7 linked regions of the Canis lupus familiaris genome follow. The protein of the gene in region 2 interacts with the protein of the main gene of each other region in a biochemical or structural test. Links are inferred from orthologs where the notes say so. Each region holds a gene or a part of one and is shown on either strand. Other genes may lie near its edges.

The links.
Region 1: the proteins of MAP1LC3C (region 2) and NEDD4 form a complex in vitro, tested with the Homo sapiens proteins (2 studies listed by BioGRID and IntAct). The link is inferred for Canis lupus familiaris from reciprocal best matches to the Homo sapiens genes MAP1LC3C and NEDD4.
Region 3: the proteins of MAP1LC3C (region 2) and STK3 form a complex in vitro, tested with the Homo sapiens proteins (2 studies listed by BioGRID and IntAct). The link is inferred for Canis lupus familiaris from reciprocal best matches to the Homo sapiens genes MAP1LC3C and STK3.
Region 4: the proteins of MAP1LC3C (region 2) and KBTBD6 form a complex in vitro, tested with the Homo sapiens proteins (2 studies listed by BioGRID and IntAct, with this or other methods). The link is inferred for Canis lupus familiaris from reciprocal best matches to the Homo sapiens genes MAP1LC3C and KBTBD6.
Region 5: the proteins of MAP1LC3C (region 2) and SQSTM1 form a complex in vitro, tested with the Homo sapiens proteins (6 studies listed by BioGRID and IntAct, with this or other methods). The link is inferred for Canis lupus familiaris from reciprocal best matches to the Homo sapiens genes MAP1LC3C and SQSTM1.
Region 6: the proteins of MAP1LC3C (region 2) and NBR1 form a complex in vitro, tested with the Homo sapiens proteins (2 studies listed by IntAct). The link is inferred for Canis lupus familiaris from reciprocal best matches to the Homo sapiens genes MAP1LC3C and NBR1.
Region 7: the proteins of MAP1LC3C (region 2) and KBTBD7 form a complex in vitro, tested with the Homo sapiens proteins (2 studies listed by BioGRID and IntAct, with this or other methods). The link is inferred for Canis lupus familiaris from reciprocal best matches to the Homo sapiens genes MAP1LC3C and KBTBD7.

What each region holds. Positions count from the first base shown.
Region 1 is NC_049251.1:21,503,088-21,507,152, forward strand, and holds the start of NEDD4 (E3 ubiquitin-protein ligase NEDD4), read right to left. Parts: upstream 2,801-4,065; 5' UTR 2,364-2,800; coding exon 804-2,363; intron 1-803. UniProt on the Homo sapiens protein: E3 ubiquitin-protein ligase which accepts ubiquitin from an E2 ubiquitin-conjugating enzyme in the form of a thioester and then directly transfers the ubiquitin to targeted substrates. Specifically ubiquitinates 'Lys-63' in target proteins.
Region 2 is NC_049228.1:33,301,758-33,305,753, forward strand, and holds the start of MAP1LC3C (microtubule-associated proteins 1A/1B light chain 3C), read right to left. Parts: upstream 2,801-3,996; 5' UTR 2,675-2,800; coding exon 2,617-2,674; intron 2,516-2,616; coding exon 2,460-2,515; intron 2,282-2,459; coding exon 2,175-2,281; intron 201-2,174; coding exon 1-200.
Region 3 is NC_049234.1:1,025,045-1,029,008, forward strand, and holds the start of STK3 (serine/threonine-protein kinase 3), read right to left. Parts: upstream 2,801-3,964; 5' UTR 2,611-2,800; coding exon 2,585-2,610; intron 1-2,584. UniProt on the Homo sapiens protein: Stress-activated, pro-apoptotic kinase which, following caspase-cleavage, enters the nucleus and induces chromatin condensation followed by internucleosomal DNA fragmentation.
Region 4 is NC_049243.1:9,450,821-9,454,945, reverse strand, and holds the start of KBTBD6 (kelch repeat and BTB domain-containing protein 6), read right to left. Parts: upstream 2,801-4,125; 5' UTR 2,416-2,800; coding exon 274-2,415; 3' UTR 1-273. UniProt on the Homo sapiens protein: As part of the CUL3(KBTBD6/7) E3 ubiquitin ligase complex functions as a substrate adapter for the RAC1 guanine exchange factor (GEF) TIAM1, mediating its 'Lys-48' ubiquitination and proteasomal degradation.
Region 5 is NC_049232.1:2,129,045-2,132,544, forward strand, and holds part of SQSTM1 (sequestosome-1), read right to left. Parts: intron 3,012-3,500; coding exon 2,931-3,011; intron 2,638-2,930; coding exon 2,578-2,637; intron 1-2,577. UniProt on the Homo sapiens protein: Molecular adapter required for selective macroautophagy (aggrephagy) by acting as a bridge between polyubiquitinated proteins and autophagosomes.
Region 6 is NC_049230.1:19,825,279-19,828,778, forward strand, and holds part of NBR1 (next to BRCA1 gene 1 protein), read right to left. Parts: intron 1,570-3,500; 5' UTR 1,561-1,569; coding exon 1,459-1,560; intron 1-1,458. UniProt on the Homo sapiens protein: Ubiquitin-binding autophagy adapter that participates in different processes including host defense or intracellular homeostasis.
Region 7 is NC_049243.1:9,372,852-9,376,797, forward strand, and holds the start of KBTBD7 (kelch repeat and BTB domain-containing protein 7), read left to right. Parts: upstream 1-1,146; 5' UTR 1,147-1,429; coding exon 1,430-3,469; 3' UTR 3,470-3,946. UniProt on the Homo sapiens protein: As part of the CUL3(KBTBD6/7) E3 ubiquitin ligase complex functions as a substrate adapter for the RAC1 guanine exchange factor (GEF) TIAM1, mediating its 'Lys-48' ubiquitination and proteasomal degradation.

The sequences.
Region 1 (4,065 bases), on a different chromosome or scaffold from region 2:
AGATACATTAGAGTTAAATGACTAATAAACAAAATTACCAAAATAACAAATTAATAAGGTAACTAGGAGTATTTGGGAAATGCCTAGCAATTGAAACCAAATTCAAAAAATATAAAATTAGAATTCAATACTGTTGAAAGACTAAGTTACATTTTAGAAGGCAATCTTAACTGGTAGCTAAAGGAAAACTGGGTGGAAACAAAATTCCTGTGGTTAAGGGTATATACAAATGCAAATGCCAGTTATTTTTCCTGTGCTTTAAAACAGCAGCATAATAGTTTTTATCAATGTTCTACTAAATACGCATATTTTAGAGAAACATTTTCTCTGTGTTCATTTGTGAAAAGATTTTCACATTTTTATGTAGGCTTTTTATTGTTTAGTATTTTAAATAAGTATTCTATATTTTACCTATTTCACATTGATTAAGGAGGGGAGAATGCTAAATGAACATTTTTGAAAGTAGGAATAAAATATGGAGTTAGACATTAAAATGCTATATTACTTGAAGAAAAAAATATACCAAGGTAAAAATATTATGAAATAAATTATTATTTAAAGCTTGTTTTCATGCTACAGAAATGTTTCATGGTTTAAATCATTTTAGAGAGTTTTTTTTTTAATGCATATTTTTGACACTAGTAAAATAACAGAGAGTGAAAAACTATTGAAGTTTCCTCAGATTTACAAATACAAAGATTATGACTATAAAACACTTGCTAAGTTCTAATATATTTTAACCAAATAGTTCATAAAGCTTTTCTAGTATAAATTAACAATTACCAAGACCAAAGGAAACTTACCTTACAAGAATGCTTTAAAGAATTAGATAGTTCATTTGTGAAATCTCTGTTACTGTCTCTTGATAAGTTATCAACTTTATCTTCATTTCCAGGTGCAAATTTTATGAGTAATTGTGATGGTCCCCCCTTAGAACAATTGTGCTTGAGGCTGGATAAACAGGAAACATTTGGGTAAGTTCCTCCCAATGAAACACTTCTCTGTAAAATAGCATGGTTTTTGTTTATCTGTAAATTTGGTCTTTCCAACTGTCCATTGATATTTATTTGGTAATCTAGGTGTTGAGAGGATGGTAAACATGCAGATGTCCTCTGCATAAGCTTAATGCACTCTGAATGAGAATTAAGCTTGATTTCTGACATCTCTGGTTTGCAATCACCACTTGCTGTTTCACAATCTAATGTAGTTGCTTTTTGTTGGGTGAAATGCACTGAAACACAAGAAAACCCTTCAGACGACTTTTCACGGACATTCTGATTCAGACTATCATTCGCAATAACAATTTTCTTTTGTAATGAACCCTTCCTGTGAAGTGGTCGTATGTCTCTCACTTCTCCGGGAGTACAGATTGTTTTAGATAACCGAAGTCCATTGACAGCTGTTGAAAGAAATCCCTTAGTGCTACTACCATCTTCACTGTGGGCAATTTCACTAGGAGAAATAATAAATTGGTGTGAGGTTTGATAGGATCCTTTGCTTGGAAGAACGTCTGTACTTGTTGGAGAAGTCGGTGGGGTATTTAAAGGACTCCTAGGAAAAATGACTAAGGATGAACAACGTTTTAGTGGAATTTTCGAGTTCCTGGTCACTGGCAATTTCATAATTTCTAGTCCATGCTCCAAGTCATCCTGGACAAAAGGAACGGTACTTGGACTTCTTGAAAAAATGTCACATGGAGTAGTATTCCTGTTTGGCACACTTCTATTGGAGGTGCTGTCAGAAGATAAATTTCCACCAAAAAAAGTATCATCAGTTGGTGGAAAAGTATAACCACTGCTGTCACTGATGATACTGTTTGTGTAGGAACCACCACTTGTGATACTTGTGCATGATCCATAATCACTACCATTGCTGCTGTAAGACCCATTCTCACTGGTGGAAAAGTTACTGAGGCTCCCACTGTGAATGGCCGAACTGCTTACAAGGTTACCATCATTCACAGCATTCAGCTCATTCTCAGCCACAGCATTGTTGTAAATGCCATCCTTAAAGACAGATGTAAATGAAGCATCATCACCATCAGCTAAGACATTGCCAGACTGAAGACATCCACTGTACCTTGTTGGTTGTAGTGAAATCTGCAGACAGCTGCTCTTTTTATTAACATTTTCAGGTGAAGGAACAGATGATCTTTCCTGAGAGTTAACGTTTTCCTGTATCAACGGAGCTAGTGCAGTCTGTCTAGGAGTCAGCTTCATTTGAACAACGTTAGACGTTGAAATCCGTGTTGGTCTTTTGAAGCACATGTGAACATTGCTATCCAAATCATCTCCGGAGGTTTCTGACAAAGGATAAGTATTGCTTCTTCTGGCTGCAAAGTGCAATCGTAAGCTTTGTGCCATTTGTTCTCATTTCCAAACATGTTAAGGGCTGAAAGTCATAACAAAGATCTCTGTCGGTAGACAGGCTAGAAGCAGCTGCACTGCATCGAAGGAAAAAATCATTTGTGGTGCCTAAAAGAGCTCTTAAGCAGTAGTCTTTATCCTAAGTAAAACCTTAGATACCAGATATCATAGAAAGAAAAAGACGACCCATTCCTGAGACTGACGTTTCCAAATATTTTGAATCGCTTGTAGTCAAAATGCCTTCACTTACAAAGCACTTGATTTCCAGCGCCCTTTAAGCTGAGCTCAGCTGCAGCGCACTGCCTCAAACACTGCCAACCTTGTTTCAATTATACCTTCTCCAATTTGCATGAATGAGTAACACAAGAACAACAATCTTCTAGCATTTCAAGTTGAAACAGTATTTTTTCACTCCTGCTCTACTAAATGAACATTTAACTATGTGAATCACGGCGTCTATACTTTCTCCAGCAGAGTTTGACCACTAATATTTTTACCCATAGGGATAAAATTACAGGAAGTTGGTAGGAATGAAACCCCATGTAATTGAGTATCAAATCAAGGATTGAATTTCCAAACAGTAGACAAACTAGGAATCTTGTCAAGTTAGTTAATGTAGAAAGGCATATATTCTGTTAATTTTTTTTTTAATGAGTGAATTCAAACAGTTGTATAAATTTGGAAGTACCAAAACTCTGGGGTGAATTAAAACTCAAGCATTAAATCAAATAGATAAATATTTTAGCTTCCAAAACACTACTTATAAAAAGTGAAAGCTTAAGGATAGAAACACAAAATTAGCCTAGTAATACTATTGAAAAATTGAGCATAGGTCTGAGAAAGAAAAATTTAAGAGAAGCTGTCACCAAGCATTTTCTTCTGTAATTTTAAGGCCTTTTCCAGCCAAGTAGTACAGTCTTTAAATGATGCCATTTATATTTTGACTATTAAAACTCTGCCAAGAAATAGCCTAAGCAAACATTCCATTAAAAATATATGCAGATTAGACAGAAAAACTATACCCCAATATAGTTTGAGCACACAAGATATTTTATTCCACTGTCTCTGCAATTCATTCACTTAAGAGAGTGTTGTGGTAAGTAAAGAAGTCTAAAAAGGATTTAACACATCAAATAAACATATCTCAATGCCAAATCTGTTCTGAAAACTCTAAGAGCTCTTTGCTGGCCCCTACTGGTGTGCTGAAACAATCCATTTAGCTGTTTGATACCTATAAAGAAATACAAACCATGCTGCATATTTCTTTGTATAAACAAAGTACATACTTGTTTACATTTTTGAGTACTAGCCTTGCCCTAGAGGTGGAATTACTTACTACTGCTGATAAAGCTCCCACAGTAGAGAACAGTAGACTATTTGTCCTCCTAGAGGTTGTGATTTTGTATATATATTTTTTCTGCTTTGTATTTATTTAACCTTTACTTTATTTTCAGTTTACTAGGTAATAAAAGTTTAATATTTTAATTTCTCCCTTAAATGTCATAGACCAAGCTTGGTATTCTATTTGAAAGAAACAAATTTATTTTTAAATAATACTCTAGGGTATATTTAAACCCCTTACCTGAATTTTATAGCTGGAACTCCAGTAATAAATATATACTGGCTCATTCATAGGAAAGTAAAAAGTAAAATAGTTCAGTTGTTTACACCACATGGTACTACACCCAAGTTGTATTTT
Region 2 (3,996 bases):
CATGCACTGGAGAGGACGGCAGGATTTGCTCCGACCCTAAGCAGCCAAACATCTCCTGGGAGGCGTAGGTCATGTACACAAAGCCGTCCTCATCTTTGTAGTCCCTGTAGACTTCTGCCATGGTCATACTCATGCTGACCAGGCTCCGATTGTTCACCAGCAAATAAAAGGCTTCAGTGGCCCCAAGGACCAGGCGGCTCCTGGGTGGGGAGGAGTGGGGGGCAGGAAGGGAAAACTTTAACTGGGCATGGAATGGGCCCCTGACCCAAGCCCTGGCTTACCTCTGTCTGTCCACGGCAAACATGTCTACCCAAGGAGCCCACCTCTCCACTCTAGTGCATTGTCTTCAAACTTGACAATTACCCGGGAGGGCTTGTTGAAAGCAGACACCTGCACTCCACACCAAGAGTAAGGCCATCCTATCATTAACTAGGAGACATACCAACACAAAAATGCTAAGCCCTCTTTGCTCTCAAACTCAAGGTATGTACAGCCCCAGACATACAAAAGTGATTACAGTATCTCCCAGCATCTCATTGTTAAATAGCTTTGGAATGAAATGTTGAAAGGTTACTACCCTTTCCTCCCTCTGCCATCTCTCCCCCCACCTCAAGGAGATAGAGAAGCAGCTTAGTTCATTTGGACAGGCTATAATGTCAAGGTCAATCTGAGGCCTGGTTCATCCTGGAGTGGAGGACAACATGACAGCGTAGACACTCAGGTAAGGGATCTGTCTCCCCTGCAGCACACCTCCATTTGCTCTACTTGGAGAGGTAGGCATAGCTTGCCCACTCTGGTCTCAGAGATTTGAACTTTCAGGTGAGCTAGGTCCATGTGGTTTTGGGACACAGGTGGCTAGAAATTGATTAATTTTATAACCAGATAACCTCTCCCAAAATAACCCTGAAGATTTCAGCTTTGATAATTGCATGGTTGTCTGGGTAAAAGAAGTGTTCTACAACGGGAATGGATGGAGCTGGGGACCAGTGCATTGCCTTCAGCTCTGCAGGAAACACTCCACACAGTCCACACACCCACCTCCTGTCCTTTGCTATACTATCTTTCAACGAGGGTTGTGGCATCCTCTGGAGGAAGAGGTTCTGGGGAGAGATTTTTTTTTTTTTTTGTCTATTCTGTTCACTGCTTTAAAGACAGCCTAGAAAGAATCCAGAACATCACTGATGCTCAATAAACATTCTGGAGCATTAAATGTTGGCATAGAGAGGGGATTAGGGCTGGTAGAAAACAAAGGATGACCTCTGTCTGGGAAGGAGAAAAAGAATGGCTCTCAGAACTCAGAGAGTTGTTTCTAAGGGAGGTGGGTGAGGGGTGGTCACTCTTTGTTACATCAACATGTTGGGATATAATCCTAACACTGGTCATCCCTTAGGCACTTCCATTCACACGGGGCCAACATAAGCTCCCCAAGGAGAGGATATCAAGATCCTCTTAAATAACTCATCAAGACAAACAAGACAGAGACAAACACACACTCATAATGAATTCTTAAAGAAAAAGCAGCTATGCAGCTTGCAAGGGCTGGCCTTTCTGGACTTTTCAACCCCATGAAGAATTACCCTCTGGTAATTACTCTCAGATCATTTTTGTTGAATCCATGTGTCAAGTGACAGTACTTACCCCTCTTAAGCTTTGAAAATAGCCCCATTTTCTTTGCTGTGCCTTAACCTAAAGGAGGAACATGTCTGGGGACACCTTTCCTGTCCTCCCTCCCAGTGAAGGGAGTGCCTGCCTTTGGAAGAGGTCCTCATTCCTCCAGGGCACAGACACTTTAAAGGTACCGTGTGTCTGCTGGGAAAATGAAGACTGAGTGTTTTTTTTTTTTTTTTTTTTTAAGACTGAGTTTTAAACAGCTTGTGGAAGAACAGATCTTTTGGACTAGTCTCAGAGCCAGGACTACTTCCAAAACTTCTTAGAAAAGTTGGCGGCTCTTACTCTCTTTAAACTTGCTATCTGTGGGATTTTCCTCGCCTGTTTAAGTCAAATTACTTCTCAGAGCATCTTTTCTGGGCCCTACAGAATCTAAGAGGTGAGTCGCAAAGGAAATCTTTTCCCTCTCTTACAGATTCTCCCCCTCCTCAAAACCAAACCAATTAACAAAGCAAACAGAAAAAGCCTCACCTAGCACACTCCCCAGCGTGCACATTGTCACCTACCGGATGATGCTGAGGAACTGGATCATGGTTAGCTCCTGTGGGACCAGGAACTTGGTCTTGTCCAGTAGGGGCAGGAACTTCTCCCTGGGGTAGCGCTCCACTATCACCTGTCGAGAGGGTCAACCCCCAAGAATGTAACTCAGAGGTCTCAGTATCTTAGAAAATTAGAACAGGGAGAGACAGTGGGGTTTTTTTGTTTTGTTTTGTTTTCTTCTTCTTATTTTTTCTTTTTTTCTCTCAAGGAACAGAGTATACTCCTTTTCAAAAAGCGTAATGCGGTCTTACCGGGATCTTGTTTGGGAACTTTGCTCGGATTCCGGCAACTTCCTCTTGTCTGGTTGCTGTGAATATTTCAAAGATAAAAGAATAAGTAAACAGCAGGAGAAGTCTGTATCCTCTTCCCTCTCCCTAGCAACCCAGACAGCTACCCTTAGAATTTTACCTAAACTCTTCCTCTGCTTGAAGGGTCTGAGGCTTTGGGTTTTCTGTGGTGTCTGCATTTTGCTCAACAGCTGTGTCTGTGTCTGACTTAAAAAAAAAAAAAATCCCACAACCAGGACCTAACTCATTCCTCAGCTGCTTCCAAACCGCCCCGCAGGAGCCTAAAGGAGGCCCTTATGTAGGGCTGTGTGACATCAGGCTTCCCCAACCCTCCTTCCCCTCCCCCTCCCTGGGTAGGAGGAGGTCAGCCCAGAGTAGGAGATGGAACAACAGCCACTTGCTTGCTTCTCAGACAAAGTCACTCTGCTCATGGCCAGTTCAAAATGTTTCTTTGCTGGAGAAATTAGGGTTCACAATAAAATCAGTGGCTGGGTCACCAAGCAGCCTATGTCTGGGATGAGGACCCTGGAGATACCAAATAGCCATTTGGTAGGGACAATCTTTTTATTTTTTATTTTTTTTATTTTTTTATTTTTCATGAGAAACATAGAGAGAGAGGCAGAGATATAGGCAGAGGGAGAAGCAGGATCCTAGTGGGGAGCCCGATGCTTGACTCGATCCCAGAACTCCAGGATCATGCGCTGAGCCGAAGGCAGATAGATGCTCAACTGTTGAGCCACCCACCTGTCCCTTCTAGGCACAATCTTGTGCTTTAGTAGGAGCCTATCTTGAAGGTGGGCCAGGATGGGGCTGCCCCGCGCTGAACTGGGCTGCCTTACTCCCGCAGCAGTCCTTCACAGCCAGTTTTCACAGAAAGAAACCTATGATCAGAAAGGTAAAGGCATTTCCCCAAAGTCATACAGCCAGTAAGAGAGGCAGTTGGGATTAAAACTCAGATTTGGTACAAAGTAGGGCACACTCCAGTATATGCTGCCATTTTATTTTCTCTGCCATAAAGGGGGGAAGGAAGCCCAGTGACCCCCAAAACCTCCCTTCAAGAGATAAGAAATAGAGGCCCATAGAGGTTAACTGGTTTGCCTGGGATCCAAGGGCTGATAAGAGGTAAGACACAGGTCTCCCAGGTCTCAGCCTCCAGGGTTTTGCTTCCAGAAATGTATGCACACCCAGGCAAACCTCTGCACTCCGAGTGAGCAGAGGGTTTACATTTCCCACACTGATTTCCCGGCAGAATCACTCAACAGTGAAGAGTCTTCAAATGAACAGTGTGACATAAAGGAAGGTGATTTTACATTCTCTATGTTTGCTTCATGAATCAGTGTGAATCTCAGGGCTTTGGCTAATCATCAGGAATGGACATCCAGTGATTAAATGATAGCATCACTGACAAGTGGCTTCATCCTCTGACTCTCCCTCTGATGCCCTTCAGAAAGGGCACACATGCTCATGGGGCTGCGATAATGGGGAGCAAGTGTGTACTTTG
Region 3 (3,964 bases), on a different chromosome or scaffold from region 2:
CTACTCCAAACACAGCCTTCCTGCTAAAAAATTTTTTAAACCACTGCCCTAAAGTACCTAGTTGGAAGGCATTGCTGTAAATCAAGTATGACGGTCATAAAACCCAGGTATGGAGTAGTAGTATCAAAAATGAAAAACAGAAAAGAAAATGAATCTAGACTTCTTGATGGAGAATTCAATAGGACTTAGTGACAAACTAGAAAGAATAATGAAAGAATGGATCTGCATAAAAATATCAAATATTCCAACTGAACACACCTGCTGGTCATACAGACTTGAACATCAGCAACATAAATGTGACCATGTAAAAATGTCTGAGCCCTAAGGAAGTGCTCCTATGCAAGGCAGAAAAGCAAAGCAACATTCTTACAGGGATTAGGAAAAGAACAAGCAGAGGGCCCACAGGATCGTACAAAGACATGGCCACCACACCATGGAAGGCTAAAAGAAGTGTTTTTAAAAAGAGGTATCACTGTACACAATGAGAGGGTTCACAGCCTTTGCAGCCAATCAGATTCAGGGTTCTGGCAACTCCTCCACTTGACCAAATTATTTAACCTCTCTGAGTTTCATTTAATAAGGAAAAAATAAACCAACATTTAGCGTCGTTCAACACATTATGGAGCACTGTGCTAAGTGCTTTTACACATGACCTATTCTAATCCCCGTAACACACTTTACAGATGAAGAAATTAAATTTAGAACTAGCGTAATAAGCTGCAGAGCCATGATTCCTCTTTCTTATGACAATAAAATAAAGGAATGCATATACAAATTTCCTGGGGGAAAAAATGACCTCAAAAATGGCATATTTTATTATTAGAAGGTAATAATCAATAGGGAGGACACAAAAACTCACTTTCAGTAATCCCTGTCATAGCCTTCCATGGAGCAAACTCTTTGTGTCCTCAGCTACAAAACAGGATTACTTCCTGTAATCAAACTTACGTAATAGGGTTGCTATGATGATATTATGAAAATGAAAATGCTATGAAAAAAATTTAAGTGACATTCAAATATATGGGCTTAATGTCACATAGCTTGCTTTCCAGAAATGCCTTCCTGGAACAACGAAGTCTGTCTGAAGAGAACTAAAAATGAGCCTGTTGGAGTGCAAGCATCACTTTGTAAAGTATAAATGACCATGAAATGGTTATATATACCACCCACATCTCCCCCTGGCCCTTCTAGGTTTTCTAGAGCCCCTGCAAGGCCAGAGGATCTCTTATACCTATAAAGAAACCGATAATTTACAGCCAATGAATGAATAGAGCTTCTACTTCAATTTGGAGTTGTTCAACTTGACCTTTGGGCATCATCTCAGAGGTGGCCCCCTTACAGTCCTTCCAAAACAGAGAAGAAAAAAAGTTTCCAATTTTCTTCTAAGATACTAAAACTGGGTGCCCAATCAATACGAGAATTCAATACAAAATACCAGACAAAAATCAAGGGCTCTGATAACAAGTCTCTTTTGGACGCCCTTCCACACACCCACCTTTTTTCACCTGAACAGATGGTTTCCAGGCCTCAAGGCTCACATGTCTAGTCACACGATTCACAACAGCTCACAAAGTTCCTACCTTTTTAATTATTCCATGTTCCTGAATATATCACCTTTCGTCTAAAGATCTCTAAGTATCAGAACACAGGAACTCCTTAATCTTCACAACAGCACTCTCTGGGAGAAAGATTAGTACTCTTATTTTATAAATTACAAATGAAAGACTGAGATTACATGTTTTAAACAACACCAGTTAAATGACGTTGATTCATTCTTGGGGGGAAAAAAGATGCACATTATGAATTTATATCTCTGGGCAGCCTTGATTTAGCTTGATCATTTCAAATACTACTTTTAAAAGTATCTACTGTGTACTCTCACTCTTCCAATATATCAAAGATCAAACTAACAGTAAATACCAAAGCATCACTACTTCTATATGCTAGAAAACAAAACAAAGCACTATGCGGGGAAGGGGTTCTAATTTAGGATTCCTACTGTCTCGCATCCATAAATACTTTTGAACTTGAGGGCGGTGAGGAAGGAACACCTGTCAGTGCGGTACACCCTCAAGGTCCACACACTACGTAGCTGTTCCTACGGAATTCCTTCGACGGGAAACAAATAATCCGCCTTCTCAAATAAATGGCAGTATCACGAGAAACACTGGACAAAAGCGCCGAGAAGGCTGCGAGCAGCCTAATGCATGCCCCGTTTCGCGTCCCGGGCTCCGAGACTCGCCGGGAGGAAGAGGCCCAGGAGCGCGGCGGGGAGGCCGGCGCTCCCCAGCCGCTCCCCAGCCGCTCCCCAGCGACTCCCCAGCGACTCCCCACGCCGCCAGGCCCGGCCGCCGCGGCAGACGCCAGGCTCGGCCTCCCCGCGGCGCCCCGGGCCTGGGGGCAGCCGCGGCCCGGCCCCGCCTCGCGACGGCCGACGCGCCCGGCCCGGGCCCCGCCGCCGCGGAGGGGTCGCCGCCAGCTCGGGCCTAGCCGCCCCCGCCCGCGGCCGCCGGCCCCCCCGCCCTCCCTCCGCTCCCGGCTCCCGGCTCCCGGCTCCCGGCTCCCGGCTCCCCGCGAGCGTTACCTCTTGGGCGCTGGCGGCTGCTCCATGGCGGCCGGCGACAGAGGAACGGCCCCGGTGGGCGCTGAAGGACGCAGGGAGGACAGGAGCCGGGCACCGGCCGGCCGAGCCCCCGAGTCCCCGGGGAAAACCTCCAGGAACTCGGACCAACTTTCCCGTAAGTCCGCGGCGGATCCTCCTCCCGCTCGCGAGCGCCGCGGCCTCCGCGCCCCGCCCCTCCCCGCCCCGCCGAGCCCCGCCCAGCCCCGCCCCTCCGCCGAGCCCCGCCCCTCCGCCGCCCGGGGAGAGTGGGCGGAGCCAGCGGCGGCCCAGGCTGGTGGGCGGAGCCGGGCCCTGATGGGGCGGGGGCGGGGGCGGGGGCGGGGGCGGGGCCGAGGCGGAGGCGGAGGCCGAGGCCGAGGCGGAGGCGGAGTCAAGCGCCGGCCCCCGAGCTGCGAGCGGAAAAAGGGCGCGGAGACCCGCGGACCAAGGCCTAGTTAGGACCCGGGGCCTGTCTGTGCTGGCCGGGGGCGGGGGATGCACCTTCCCTGGAGCCGCTGAGAGCTGCCGCTCCGCATCTGCCTCCGAAAATTGGCTTTTGCCCCAATCCTATTTGACTCATTTCTTCTCTGGATTTCCCAAAGACACATCCCAAGCATCTTGTGCAGCCTTTTGAAGTGTCACTAACTGCCCACGCTTCTGTCTCTAGTTGTTTATAATTATGGGCTGTGTTTTACGCCCGCCCGGTTTGACGTTTGTAGCTACAGCACGAGGGATACTACTGGAAATTCTTGTTTGATGTTGATTGTGGACAAACTCCTCACTACATTTCGCTATAATTACGTCTGATTACAAAGAAAATTAGGACTGCGGTGAGATCCCAGTGCACAGATTTCATGCACTGTGGTCTTGCCAGCTGTTCGCTTGGATCACCTGGAAAACCTAAAACAAATTATGGTGCACAGAAAAGAAGTCAAGAAAAGTTTCTCTTCCTTCTTGTCACCTGTCTCCCCCAACCTTTTCCGAAGGCCCTGACCTCATTGTGATTTGATCCCTTCCTGCATCTATCTTTTTAGGATACCATTTAACATGAAGTTCCGTATATAAATATCTTTCTTATGATCATCTAAGGTGCTATGTAATGAGTTTGCTTTCATTAGAAATTATCCAGGTGTAGAGTCATAGAGGTTTCTTGAAGGTTAGAGCAAAGTCTATGAAGAGAATGTTAAATAAAGGAACTTTGTGAATATTAATCCAAATTAGACTTGTCTAATAGTCGTTTTCCTCTTTTTTGCATTGTTTCCATATGTAATAAACTTACATGATTTATTTTTCAAAGCACTATATTCCCCATTAAATTTAGTTATGTTAAATTTAAGACCATTCGTTGTTGAACCCTGAAGT
Region 4 (4,125 bases), on a different chromosome or scaffold from region 2:
AAACATACCCAACAATCAAATCAATACTGGACTTTTAGAACAGTAAATTATTAAATAGGTTGATTTCTTTGTGTATAAATTCCCTAACATTAAATTATGTTAGTATTTCAAACAATACCCTTTCTAAACCAAACCTGAAATCAATCAACCTGTGTTGTTGTTGTTTTTTTCCCAGCAAAGAGAAAGGGCATCTCTTTAAGACACTTTCCAAAGCAGTAAAAACACCTTAGTGTTTCAACCTATCTACAACAAACTCTGCTGATCCTGTGCATTTCACTGAGGTGCTACCTGAACCCACAAATCATCATCAGATAAAGAACTTGAACTTCCTGACTCAGAGTCCAGCTCACTGAATCCACCTAAATCCCATTCGGTGCTAGATTCACTCGGCACGTCTTCTTCCTCAGTGAGGAAACTGTGGCCAGGTTCAAGGCAGGAAGGATAAACACGAGCTGAGAGGCAAAAGAAGTTGGAATCAAACTGGAAGAGGCCTAAGGTGGTACCTATGTTGATCCACTGGTCTCCCCTAGTGTCATATTCATACACGGTCACCCGGTTCTTCTTCCACTGTGGGGTGCGAGAGGTGATCAGCAACAGTTTTTGGCCGTGATTGATTATCCGGTAGTTGTTGGTCTCCGACACCAGGGGAATATTGTTAATCTGCCTCCATTCCCCCCTGACTGGGTTGTAGACCTTCATGACGGGGATGTCGCAGATACAGTAGATCTCATCATTGAAGACACAGGCTTCCTGAAAGTCATTGCGCTTGAGGGAAACACACTTGAGCCACATATTGTGGCTCGGATCATAGCAGAACATGCGCTTACTGTTGAGGGCATAAAGATAGTTCTGGATGACCATTAGATCAAAGGATATAAAGGAATGGGGTAGCGGAGCCACCAGTGCCCACTGGTTTCTCTGGACACTGTAGCACTCCACCTCCTTTAACTTAACACCGGTAATGGGGTCTCGCCCACCCAAAATGTAGATGTAGCCATTGAGGTAGGCCACATCCATGCCCTCCCGGCACAGCAGGCGGTCGGCCAGCTGCTGCCAACTATTCTGGGCTGGCTTGTACACCCAGAGGTCCTTCCTGGGCTGCGCGGCCAGGTAGATGTCGTGGTCTGGAGAGACGCAGACAGCTAAGGTGGTGACAGTCCTGGTGTGAGCAAGGCAGGTCAGAGGCGAGGGCACTTTGTAAATATCGCCGGTGTATGGGTCACAGCACAGAAAGGGATCTCTAGGATGTCCAAAGAAGATCACCATCTTCTTAGCACACACGCCCAGCCTCTGGGGTGGGTTTTCAGCTATGGGTACAACAGAGGAGCTGCTGCTGCTGCTGCTGCTGGTGCCGCTGCCAACCCCACTGCCCCCACTACCACCGCTGCCGCCGCTGCCGCCGCTGCCGCTGCCGCCGCCACTGCCACCGCTGCTGCTGCTGCCGCCGCCACAGCTGCCACTGCTGGTCTCTGGCTTGGGCGCCAGAGCCTTGCACAGCTTGTCACCATAGCGCATCTGCAGGGCCCCCTCGATAAGGTCCAGACAGTACTTTTTCACAATGGTGTTGGTCAGCAGCCCCTCCAGGTAATCTTTATTTTCATCAGTGAAGTGTGTCCAGCGGACACACTTGAAGACTTCCGCAGCGCTGGGTCCGCGCTCCTTGGGAGCCGCCTCCAGCCACTGCACGGCCACATGACACACGGTCTGCTCCAGCTCTATGTTCAGACTATCCAGGCGCAGGATGGACAGCAGCTGGGCGAGGGTCAGATCCGCCAGAGTCTCTTCCCGAATCGAACCCATCTGGCTGAGCTGCTTGAAATTGTGGGCTATGAAGGACTGGGCCTGGGATCGCAGCTTGCGGTGGCCGAAGGCGTCGGCGAACTTGAAGATGGCGGTGCAGTTGGCCAGGTCGAGGCGGCGGGCCAGGAAGGAGGCGCAGGCCTCCCGCACGTACTCGAGCTGCAGCATGTCGGAGGCCGCGTAGAGGCGCTCCACGTTGGCCTCGCTCAGCGACACGCGGCCCGTGTAGCAGTAGTCGACCAGCACCTCGAAGGACTCGGCGTCCACGTCGTGCATGGTCACGTTCGCCTGGTGGCTCTCGTACATGCCGCCCGTGAACATGCTCTTGAAGTAGGGACACGCGGCCGCCAGCACGTTCCGGTTGCAGGGGAAGAGGCGGCCGGTGCCGGGCCCGCTGCCGGGCGTCACCACCTCGATGGTCACGTCGCACAGCAGCCGCGCGTCGTAGAAGGACTTGAGCTGCGCCAGGAGGGCTGCGGAGTGAGCCGCGTCCTTCAGCTCCTCCGGGCCCGTGAAGAAAGCCGAGACCGTGGGCTTGTGGATCCTCTTGGGCCGCTTGCCGCCGCGGGGACTGGCCAGGCGGCGAGAACGCGGAGCCTCTTCCCGGGACTGCATGGTGGAGATGGCGGCGGGGTACGAGGGCGAGAACGGGTGCACGGACCGGGCGCGGGCTCCTCCTCGCCCTCTTCGCGCGGGCGCTAGATCGCGGCGTCTCCGGAGAGACTGCAGCACGGGTCCATTTACCTAATCCAGCCGTATGCCGCAGTGCCGCCTCCCTTTATCACGTAGCCAGCGCCTGACTCACCCGCTTCCAGTTCCGCGCCCTTTTCTCCGCCTCAGCTCGCCTTACAGAACCCGGCTGGACGGAACCGAGAGAGCCGCCACTGCCGCGCTGGCAATACCGGTAGGCGTCCAGCGGAACTACGGCTCCCAGGCTGCCTTTCGCGCCCCGAGGCATGCCGGGGCCCCTCCAGACTCCAGGGGATAGGCGGATGGCCCGGAGCCGCTGTGCACGCTGGGAGTGGTAGTTTCCATAGGCATCGCGAGATTTATCGGCCGTTCATTGTTTTCGGCCGACGGAATTAGAAATCGCTAATTTTCGGCCGTTCGCTTTTATGCTTTAGAACTTTGAGCCTGGAATCCGGGTTAGCCCTCCTGGTTTTCGTATCTGCCACCTTGTTGGGCTCCGCGCTCGGGACGGTTTTTTTTTTTTATTTTTTTTTTTTAATGTGAATAACGACGGTGTGTCCCAGCGCCGTGTGACGACGACGACGTGAATTGCGTAGGTTAAATAAGGATGCTCGGACTGCACAGTCGCGGGTTAGGCTGATAAAGACTCTCGCGGCGCCCGTGAGGTGGAGGTCGGGTGCCCTTTAGCTTCTCTTTGCTCGTTTAGGAGATCATCGAGCGCTCCCTCTTGAGATGTAGGAGCCCGTGGGGGGGAAAAAAATCGAGAGCCCTGCAGGTTTTCCTCAGAGATGCCGCCCCTTCCGCGCCCCCGCCTTTTTGTAATACATTCTTTTTTTCTTCCTTTCCCCAAAGATTAGTTTTAGGTGTATGATTTCAGTGATTCTGTGGGTTGCTCGGTGTTCATCAGGATAAGGGTCCTCTCCATCGCCTTTCGCCCATCCCCCCCCCTTCTTCCCTGGCAACCACCGTTGTGTCTTCTGGATTTAAAGTCGGGGGTGTTTTTGTTTGTTGTTGTTGTTTCTTTTCTTTTTTAGCGATTGAGTTGGGTTTGTTTTTTGGGTTTTTTTTTTTTTTGAGTTGGTTTTTAAGAGCAGTTTCCGGTGCCCCAAGATCGAGCTGGGTTTCACGGGGAGCCGCCACCCCCCGCACCCCCTGACGGTCCCCCCTCTGGCCGACACCTCGCCTCCGGGGGTGCGTGCCACCGGGTCATCGTGGGTTACAGCGGGCTGTTGAGATTGGGTTCCGCTCCTGGGTGCAGTTGCGAGGGTCCTGCAGAAGGTGTAAGGTCACGGGCCCACCATTACAGTGACCTACAGAACAGCCCCCACGGCCATAAAAATTCCCTGTGTTCCATCCCTGTATGCTTCCTTCTCCCTGCCCTCCCACCCACCCGCGCCCGCCCAGAAACCACTGATTTTCCTTGCTGTCTCGTTTTAACTTTTTCCCCAGGATGTCGTATAGTTGAAACTGGACAATGTGTAGCCTATTATTATTATTATTATTATTATTATTATTTACAATGTGTAGCCTTTTAAAAACATCTTCTTTCACTTAGCAATAGTCATTTCAGGTGGCTCCATGTCTTTCTTTTTTCCAGCTTAAAAGCTCATTTCTCTTATCACTGAATGATATTCT
Region 5 (3,500 bases), on a different chromosome or scaffold from region 2:
AATGGCTGGCAACCACGGCAGTCTGATCCTAGCAAGGCATTATTAAGAGGAGGCTGCCAGGAGGAACCCCCTGAGGGGCCAGGGCCATGATTCGCTTTCCTCTGGAGGGTGATGGGGCACCTGGCCAGGCAGTGGGATCCTGGGTGGCAGAGCTACAGGACATTGCCCCGGCACGCATGGCCTCTCCCGAGCAGGGACACCTCAGCCCCTGCTGGACCGACTGCTCACTCAGGCTGCCGCCTCGCCCTGTGCCCTCCAGCATCTAACCATCAGGTCTCATGCCTGGGATGGCAGGGACCATCATTCGGCTGACCAGCCAGTAATGGCTACAGGATCCTGAAGACTGGTCTTCAAACACCCCCAATTCCCTGGCCTCTGATGCCTCCACACAGTTGCTCACCACCCTCAAAATCCACTGCTTGTCTTTCAAAGTTTAAGGTCATCTTACCTCGTCATCTAGGACTTTCCTTTTTCTTTGTCTGTGTTGCTTTATACTCTTGTGTTTAATCCCTTTATTGTCACTTTGGTAGAGTGAGGAGCAAACAGAGATAAAGACAGGCTTAGTTACCAATACTCCCATCTGCAATATTTAAGTCCTTTTTCTCCTTTTATCCTCTCTCCGACTTTTTTTTTTTTTTAAGATTTATTTATTCGTTTATTTGAAAGAGAGAGAGAGCAAGAGAGAACACAAGTGGAGGGGCAGAGGGAGAAGCAGACGCCCCACTGAGTAGGGAGCCCAATGTGAGGCTCAGTCCCAGGACCCTGAGATCATGACCTGAGCCAAAGACAGACGTTTAAGCCACTCAGATGCCCCCTCCCTCCAACTTTTCATCATGAAAGGGTCAAGCAGGGGCACCTGGATGGCTCAGTAGGTTGAGTTTCCAACCCTTGGTTTCAACTCAGGTTCTAATCTCAAACCCCATGTGTCCAGCTTAGTGCTCAGCTGGGAGTCTGCTTGGGATTCTCTCTCCCTCTGCCCTTCCCCCACACCTGCACACGCACTCTCTCAAGAAATAAACCTTTAAAGAAAAAAGGAAAGGTTCAACCAAACAAAAAAGTTGGAAGAACAGTACAGTGAACACCCATACACCGTCTAACTTTTCTGTGTGAGCAAATGACAGGACCTTTGTAAAGGAATCAGTGACTACAAACCCAAGCCAGAGCAGTCCTGTGACTCCATGGTAGACCCGCTCAGCTGGTTCTTATGGCACCTACCAAACAAGGTCTTGGGGTTTTACTTTGAAACCGCTGAGTCACTGCACACAGTCTGCCCTCTGGGAGGTATTACTGTCTGTCCCTCTGGGCCCCTGCTCTGGGAACAGTCCCTTCTAGGCAGTTAGCAGGATGAGTCATCCTAGCTGTCAGTTCCTTGTAACAAAGGAAAATACCTATAACTCTAGAGTTGAATCAATTCCTCAAGTGGCCCTCCTCAACTGAAACCCTCAAAGGCATACTTACTGAAACTTCCCTTGTTTTTCTGGACAGCTCTAGGCTCCTCCCGAGTTGGTACAAAGTAACTCCATCCACTTTGAAAGACCTGAAAAGGCCTTTACCCTTATCCTACAACACCTGAGCACTGCCAAAATTATTCCCGTAAGTCCTGTGTAGGGAATTTGGGTCAAGCTCTAAAACATGCCCCCAGCGCAGATGGGCCTCAGGATGGACAGCAAGTGCGACCCAAAGTCACTGGCAAGCCTTCAAAACACACAGATCCCAGGCCCAACCCAAGACTAATTTACCAGGATCCAGAATGTTGACCTGGGATTCTGCACAGCTTCCCGTGCCCCTAAATCACAACCCATTAGAGGACCATCTCTCAAAGTTCAACACAGCCTCGTGCTTTCGTCACCACATCTCGAGTGGCAGCCGGGGTTTAGCAATAGGCTTATCTCCCGATTATGACCTAATCACTGCTCCGTTTTTATCCTCCTTAGAAAGCACTAAGAACATCAGCGCTCTTTTCACTTTCTCTAAAGAGCCTTTGACTCCAGTCCCAAAAACAGTATATGGTCTGAGCTATTTCACGGAGCAGCAAGGCCAGGACATCACTGCTGCTTTGAAATTGTGTCCTGGCCTTGAGGAGTGGCAGCTGAAACGGTATCCAGTGGGAGGCAAGAGCAGTCCTGCCTCCCTTCCCATCTGCATCCTTTCAGACAGGCCTTCTAGGCCACCTGAGCGGACACTTCCTGCCACCGCAGTCACAGAGGTGAGCGCTCTTCTAGGCAAAGATCACAGACCTGCTGTAATCCTGCACCAGAGATCACCTTTGTCATGGACTCCCACTGCCACAGGGCCCAGCCCTGCAGCGACCACCGTCAGGGCTGCAGATGCAACAGGTGCCTTCTAAAGCCTTGGGCCAGGCTCACCACTCGGGGGTACCTGCTTTGGTTCACCCACCCAGACACTTCACACCTGAACTGAGGGCCAGGTACCGGGCATCATATAGAACTCCCGCCTCCCTCATGCCCTGCTCCCTAGCATGGGCACAAGCCTGGTACTCGGCAAGCACCAAAAAGGCTGGTACTGCAAAAGACAAAAGGGAGGAAAAGAGAAATGGCCTCTCAACTAATGACTCACCCAAGTCCTTGAGTAAACCCTGGGCTGTTTGTAGGGTGGACGTGAGGAGCAGACTGTCCTCTGTGGGAAGAACAGTCAGAGGCTGACAGGCCAACCCCGTAGCTCAGCCTACTGGGATTATCCCAACCAACCACTCTGATTCCACTTCATTCCATGGGGAAAGCTCAAGAATCTGTCAGGGAATTCAAATGAGTGGCCTGCAGTGCCGCGCTATGGCAAAGGCCTATGTGACGCTACAAGGGCACGGCAGTTAGCATTCCTCTACAGCAACCCAGGGGCCAGCCGCCCAAAGCCACCCATCACCCAGCACTCGGAGTTGCTGCCACTCCCAAAGTACAGAGGCAGCCACTTACCCAAAGGGCTCAGGGCAGCCGCCACACTCTCCCCGACATTCTTGAGGAAATTCACACTGGGATCCTCCGATGGACCAGAAACTTTGGTTTTCAAAGAAACAAAAACATTCAATTCAAAGCAGATTTCTCAAGGACTTGAACACCTGTTACAATCACATCACCTTCATCACAGGGGCCATCCATCCCTGGGACCCTGCCCCTCCATCGCCACCATTCTGGGCTGCTCTGTGACACTGCTGTTCAGAAGCCGGGGGGGATTCACTGCATGGGGTATGAAATATGGACCCCATTCTAGCTCAGATGTCAAATATCAAACAAACAAACCTCCTCACCTTGGTTCCAAAGAACAAGGTAAACCAGAGGAACAGAAAAATAATAAATTTAGAATAAAACCAGAATCTAAAATTCTGAAACACAAGTTATATGTTAAGTGTTTAACTCTGTGAATACGCTTAAAAATATTTCAGCAGGATGCCCTGCTGGCTCAATCAGTAGAACATACAATGCTTGATCTCAGGGTCGTGGGTTCAAGCTCCCAGCTAGATATAAAGCTTACTTAAAAAAAATAAA
Region 6 (3,500 bases), on a different chromosome or scaffold from region 2:
AAAATAAAATAAAAAGGATGAGCTGGAGTGTATGTGTGTGTGGGGGGGGCACGCCTGGGTGACTCAGTCGGTGTCAGCCTTCAGCTCAGGTCATGGTCCCAGGGTCCTGGGATTGAGCTCCGCCCTGAGCAGGGAGTCAGCTTCTCCCTCTCCCTCTGTCCATCTGTGTGCTCTTGTTCCTGTCCTATAAATAAATCTTAAAAGAAAAAAAAAGATGAGCTCAGATCCTTATCTATTGATTGAGAACTGTATATAATATACTGTTCGGGGAAAAATAAGGTACACAATTATGTTTATAGTATGATCCTAGGACGAAATCTGTGTGCCTACGTATTACACAGGGCTGTTAGCACTGGTTACCCCAGAGATGTGGGAACAGTGGATGAAAAGGAGGAAGGAGTAGAGGAATAGTAACTTTTTCTTTATATATGTTTGGATTGTCTTACTTCTTATAATGGGCATGTATTACCCCTTCATAATTTAAAATTTACAATAAAGAAAAAAAAAATAAAAAAATAAAATTTACAATAAAGAAGGCAAACTATCAGTTAATCTAACTACTAGAAAAAGAACTGTGTTTGATATTCAGGTCATTTGACAAAGAGGCCAAACTTTCTGGATAATCACCTATTTACAACAATATAAAGAAATATTTGCTGGAAGACAGAACTAGATCAGATCATCTTGTGACGTTTCCTCATCATTTTTTTTTCCTTTTTAGTTATCATTCCACATAACCAAATAAAAGCAGGCTTTTACCAAAAGGTTTTGATGGATAAACACAGTTACACAGGAAGTAAAACATTCACTCTACTGCAAACCAAACAAAAATAGAAGAGTACAAAGGGCAAACCAAGAGGAGGAAAGGCATTGACAACAACACAAAACAGATGAGCTGCTAAGCACCTGTAGTTCTTTTTCTGCTCAAGGTTTTTTGTTGTTGTTGTTGTTGTTGTTGTTGTTGTTTTTAAGTAGGATCCAAGTCCAGCGTGACATCACAAGACCTAAGCTAAGATGCTTAACCAACTGAACCACCCAGGCACCCCACTGCAAAACATTCAGGTACTTGACCTCTGACCTAGCAATAAAAAATGATCAGCTTGCAAAACATAAATCATACCCTGGGTGATTCACAAACCACAGAAACACAACTGCTCTCAGGCAGGAGAACATTTTTCTGGGGCTGATTAGGGTGGGGCCCACACCAATTCATTTCTCACACTGTTTCTAAAATTAACAGCTTTCCTAAGTCCCAGCTGCAAATTAAGGAATTTGTGCCCTGGAGGGAGGTGATAGTGGTGGTGCATTTTTCCTATATGAATACTGAAACCGTATCAAAAGTAATTTTCCAAAAGGCCTAGAAAAGGTAAATATAAGAGCTATCAAACAACACAGGCAAAGACAGCTATCTTTTGGGAAAAGTAGGCTTAAAGGATGGAGAAACAAAGTAACACTTACCATAGCTTCAACATCAGCCCATGTTGTATTTTCTGGATCGGAAACCAGAAAGCTTTGAGTTTCATTTTTAAAAGTCACATTCAGAGTAACCTGTGGTTCCATGCTGTGGGGCTAGAGTTAAGAGATGGAGGAAAGACAGAACACACATTAGAGACAGTTCTATAAACTGCATAAACAGCCATTCAACAAATGCTTGTGAAGATCTATACAGCCTAGGCTAGGAAGACACTGCAGTGAAGAAGTGCCTCTGCTCTTCTGCTATTTTTTTTTTTTTTTAAAGATTTTATTTATTTATTCAGAGGGAGAGGGAGATGCAGGCTCCATGCAGGGAGCCTGACGTGGGACTCGATCCTGGGTCTCCAGGATCACACCCCAGGCTGCAGGCGGCGCCAAACCGCTGCGCCACCGGGGCTGCCCTCTTCTGCTATTTATAATCTGTTCGGTGGCTACCACCAAAATCTGTTTTTATTTTGTGTTTTTTTTTTCAAAGATTTATTTATTTTAGAGAGAGTATGAATGTGGTGGGGGAGGAAAGAGGGAGGGAAGCAGACTCCCCGCTGAGCAGGGAGTCCCACCAGTCCCACGACCTAGAGACCAAGACCTGAGCTGAAATCAAGAGACGGACACCCACCCAAGCACCCCCAAATCTCACTAGTAAATTTTGCTGAGACATTGTAAATTTTGGCCACACTCACAGAAATCATTTAACATTTGTAAAATCCTCTAGGATTTTATGGAACTTATTATTAGTTAATTCAATACATATTACTGAATATCTGCTAGTAGCAGGATACAAAGAATAAGACCCATAGATCTCTGCCCTCAGGGACTTTACAATCTCATACCTTGAAAATGACATTCTACATTTTTTTCTTGGGAAAGCAGCCTTTTCCTAAACTGAGCAACCCAGGTTCCCTATTAGATCAGTTTGGACAATTTAGAGGCTAAAACACTAGCCAAGAAACTACACCTTTCATCCAAGTTCATTTTTTTAAATAGTTTTACTTTCTTTTCTTTTATGGAGAATTTCATACATAAAAGTGTAGAGTGATGGACGTATGACTACAATAAATAATTCAAGGCTACCCTCATTTCATCTATACATCTGTATTGCCTCCACCTAATCCCCCCAATATAGACTGACAGTAGTTAACTGTTTTTTTTTTTTTTTTTCTCTAAAGATTTTATTTATTTATTCATGAGAGACACACACAGAGAGGCGGAAACATAGAGGGAGAAGCAGGCTTCCTGTGGGGAGCCCAAGACAGGACCAGGGACCAGGGACCACACCCTGAGCCAAGGCAGATGCTTAACCGCTGAGCCACCCAGGCATCCCAGTTATCTTTTTAACCAAACTGTAGTAATCTAATTAAAAAATTATTACGGGAAAATTTAAACATATACAGAAGAATGAATAATATACAATGAACTCCTAAGGATCCATCAACTATCTTCCATAATTATCATCAACAAATGACTAATCTTATTATAGCTATACCCGTTTGCTATTGGATTATTTTGACAGACAGCTATTACTTCATCCATAAAATTGAGCATATTAAGTCTTTAAAAAAACCAAGACTTTTTGAAAACTATAATCCCATCATCATGCCTAAGAAGTTAGGAATTCTGTAACTGAATGTCTACTCTGGTCAGTTTTTTTTTTCTTTAAAGGTTTTATTTCTAAGCAGTCCCTGCACCCAACATGGGGCTTGAACCTACGATCCCCAGATCAAGAGCTGCATACTCTACTGACTGAGCTGGCCAGGCGCCTCTCATTGTTTTTAATTAAAAGTTTTACTTACTGATGAGTCGTTAGATTGGCTTGTTCTTATGACTTTATGAAAAAATCATTTGTTAAAATCTAAACCCAAGCTGTAATGAAAAAGGTAATCTTTTAAACATTCATCAGCAAATCTTTAAAAAAAACCTCTTCAGGGGATCCCTGGGTGGCGCAGTGGTTTGGCGCATGCCTTTGGCCCAGGGCGCGATCCTGGACACCCGGGATCGAATCCCACGTCGGGCTCCCGGTGCATGGAGCC
Region 7 (3,946 bases), on a different chromosome or scaffold from region 2:
AAAAAAAAAAAACTGGGGCATGCATGAATACAGAGCTCTGAGGTCTGTTTGTTTAAATCTTTTAATCTACAACTCCCGTTTTTATCTCCTTGATAAAGATAACTACATAATCTTAGGCTGATTTGTGGAGAGGAAGGGAAACGAGCAGTATTAGACCAAAACATTCCTGCTAAAAGGTTACGAAAGGGCTTCTGGGTGGCTCAGCCGGTTAGGCGCCTGCCCGGGGTCCTGGGATCCGGCCCTATCAGCAGGGAGCCTGTAATCTCCCTCCCCCTCTGCCTGTCACTCCCCTGCTTGTGCATTCTCTCTCTAATAAGTAAATAAAAATCTTAATTTAAAAAAAAAGAAAAAAAAGCTTATGAAAGTAATCCTGCTCCCCCTGCGTAAATATTGATTTGGTGAGAGGTCAGCCCAGCTATGCATGTGCCTGAGCTGCCTGTTAGAGGCCTGAGCTGTATGTCAGAGGCCTGAGCCGCACGTCGGAGGCCTGAGCCGCACGTCGGAGGCCACCTCTCAACGCTGTTCGCCAGGACCTCATCCTTGTCCACGACACCCTAACGAACCTGTGGATCTCATTTAGTTCTGAAAAGATGGTGGTAGCCTTCAGAAGAACCCTTCAAAAGAAGCAACAGTAAAATTAAGATTCCTCACACAAATCGCTCACGGCTTCGCACGCGGGCACATTTTTAAAAACGCATTGGGAGACGCCACCAGTGGCTGAATCTGTATATTCCAGGCACTTGCAAGCATGTGATTAATCAGCAGGTATTCGCTGAAGCATCCTGGGACCTGCGCAAATCCACCTCGCTCCCACTCTCACATAATCCTATGAAAACTCGTATCCCCCGCTTTACAAAGAGGGGAAAGTTCTCAGAGAGAAGACCAATACCAAAACGGAGATTTTTTTTTTTTTTAAATAAAAAAGAACATCAAAGCCAAAGCTCTAAAACCAACAAACCCAGATTAACGCTTTTTCGAATTCTGTCAGCTAAAAGTCCGCCCGCCCGGAGAAACCTCGCGATATTCCTCGAACTACCACTCCCAGCGTGCACAGCGGCTCCGGCCCGCCCGCCGATCCCCTGGAGTCTGGAGGGGCCCCGGCATGCCTCGGGGCGCGAAAGGCAGCCTGGGAGCCGTAGTTCCGCTGGACGCCTACCGGTATTGCCAGCGCGGCAGTGGCGGCTCTCTCGGTTCCGTCCAGCCGGGTTCTGTAAGGCGAGCTGAGGCGGAGAAAAGGGCGCGGAACTGGAAGCGGGTGAGTCAGGCGCTGGCTACGCGATAAAGGGAGGCGGCACCGCGGCGCGGGGCTGAGTTGGGTAAGTGCGGCCCCTGCAGTCTCTTCAGGGAGAAGGCGAGGAGAGGGCGAGGAGGAGCCCGCGCCCGGTCCGTGCACCCGTTCTCGCCCTCGTACCCCGCCGCCATCTCCACCATGCAGTCCCGGGAAGAGGCTCCGCGCCCCCGCCGCCTGGCCAGTCCCCGCGGCGGCAGGCGGCCCAAGAGGATCTCCAAGCCCTCGGTCTCGGCTTTCTTCACGGGCCCGGAGGAGCTGAAGGACGCGGCTCACTCCGCAGCCCTCCTGGCGCAGCTCAAGTCCTTCTACGACGCGCGGCTGCTGTGCGACGTGACCATCGAGGTGGTGACGCCCGGCAGCGGGCCCGGCACCGGCCGCCTCTTCCCCTGCAACCGGAACGTGCTGGCGGCCGCGTGTCCCTACTTCAAGAGCATGTTCACGGGCGGCATGTACGAGAGCCACCAGGCGAACGTGACCATGCACGACGTGGACGCCGAGTCCTTCGAGGTGCTGGTCGACTACTGCTACACGGGCCGCGTGTCGCTGAGCGAGGCCAACGTGCAGCGCCTGTACGCGGCCTCCGACATGCTGCAGCTCGAGTACGTGCGGGAGGCCTGCGCCTCCTTCCTGGCCCGCCGCCTCGACCTGGCCAACTGCACCGCCATCCTCAAGTTCGCCGACGCCTTCGACCATCATAAGCTGCGATCCCAGGCCCAGTCCTTCATAGCCCACAATTTCAGGCAGCTCAGCCGGATGGGCTCAGTAAGGGAGGAGAGCCTGGCGGATCTGAGCTTGGCCCAGCTGCTGTCCATCCTGCGCCTGGATAGTCTAGACATCGAGAGCGAGCGGACCGTGTGTCACGTGGCCGTGCAGTGGCTGGAGGCGGCTCCCAAGGAGCGCGGACCCAGCGCTGCGGAAGTCTTCAAGTGTGTCCGCTGGACACACTTCAGAGAAGAGGATCAGGATTACCTGGAGGGGCTGCTGACCAAGCCCATTGTGAAAAAGTACTGTCTGGACCTTATCGAGGGGGCCCTGCAGATGCGCTATGGTGACAAGCTGTGCAAGGCTCTGGTGCCCAAACCAGATAGCAGCAGCAGCTGTGTTGTGCCCACAGCAGAAAACCCACCCCAGAGGCTGGGTATGTGTGCCAAGGAGATGGTGATCTTCTTTGGACATCCCCGAGATCCCTTTCTGTGCTACGACCCATACTCAGGGGACATTTACACCATGCCATCCCCTTTAACCAGCTTGGCTCACACCAAGACTGTCACTTCCTCAGCTGTCTGCGTCTCTCCAGACCATGACATCTACCTGGCCGCGCAGCCCAGGAAGGACCTCTGGGTGTACAAGCCAGCCCAGAATAGTTGGCAGCAGCTGGCCGACCGCCTGCTGTGCCGGGAGGGCATGGATGTGGCCTACCTCAATGGCTACATCTACATTTTGGGTGGGCGAGACCCCATTACCGGTGTTAAACTGAAGGAAGTGGAGTGCTACAGTGTCCAGAGAAACCAGTGGGCACTGGTGGCTCCTGTACCCCATTCCTTCTATTCGTTTGAACTAATAGTGGTTCAGAACTATCTTTATGCTGTGAACAGTAAGCGCATGCTCTACTATGACCCGGGCCACAATACATGGCTGAACTGTGCTTCTCTTAAACGTAGTGACTTTCAGGAAGCCTGTGTCTTCAATGATGAGATCTACTGTATCTGCGACATCCCGGTCATGAAGGTCTACAACCCAGCCAGGGGAGAATGGAGGCGGATTAGTAATATCCCCTTGGACTCAGAGACCCACAACTACCAGATTGTCAATCATGGCCAAAAGTTGCTCCTCATTACTTCTACCACCCCTCAGTGGAAAAAAAACCGGGTGACTGTTTATGAATACGATACTAGGGAAGACCAGTGGATTAATATAGGTACCATGTTAGGTCTTTTGCAGTTTGACTCTGGCTTTATTTGCCTCTGTGCTCGTGTTTATCCTTCCTGCCTTGAACCTGGACAGAGTTTTATCACTGAGGAAGATGATGCACGGAGTGAGTCTAGTACTGAATGGGACTTAGATGGATTCAGTGAGCTGGACTCGGAGTCAGGAAGTTCAAGTTCTTTTTCCGATGATGAAGTCTGGGTGCAGGTGGCACCTCAGGGAAATGCACAGGATCATCAGGGTTCTTTGTAAATATTTTGAAGCACTAAGATGTTTCTACTTCTATGGAATGTATCTTTAAAAGATATCCCTTCCTTTTCATGAAAAAAAAAATGTTGATTAGGACTGCAGATTTGGTTTAGAAAGGGTAACATTTGAATTACTAATGTAATGTTACAAAGTTAAACAGTCCATGAAATCAACCTATATGATAATTTATTATGCTAAAAGTCAAGATTAAAATATGCAAAAACAAACTATGTAACTGATTAGAATGCTTGGTGGTTTCTTGGTTGTTCGAGTATTTGTTGCACCAGTGGATTGTTTTGGTTAGTTTACACTGTTTATATTTTGATTATCTACGTTTGTCTTCTGTTAACGTTTTAATTCAACTTAGTGCCACAAGGAATTTAACTTTTTAATTTTTATAGTAGAAAATTGAACTAGAAATTGTTGGTAGGGTTTTGAAGGTTGTATTTTCTTTTAGAATAATGAAAGTAGTAGATTTCC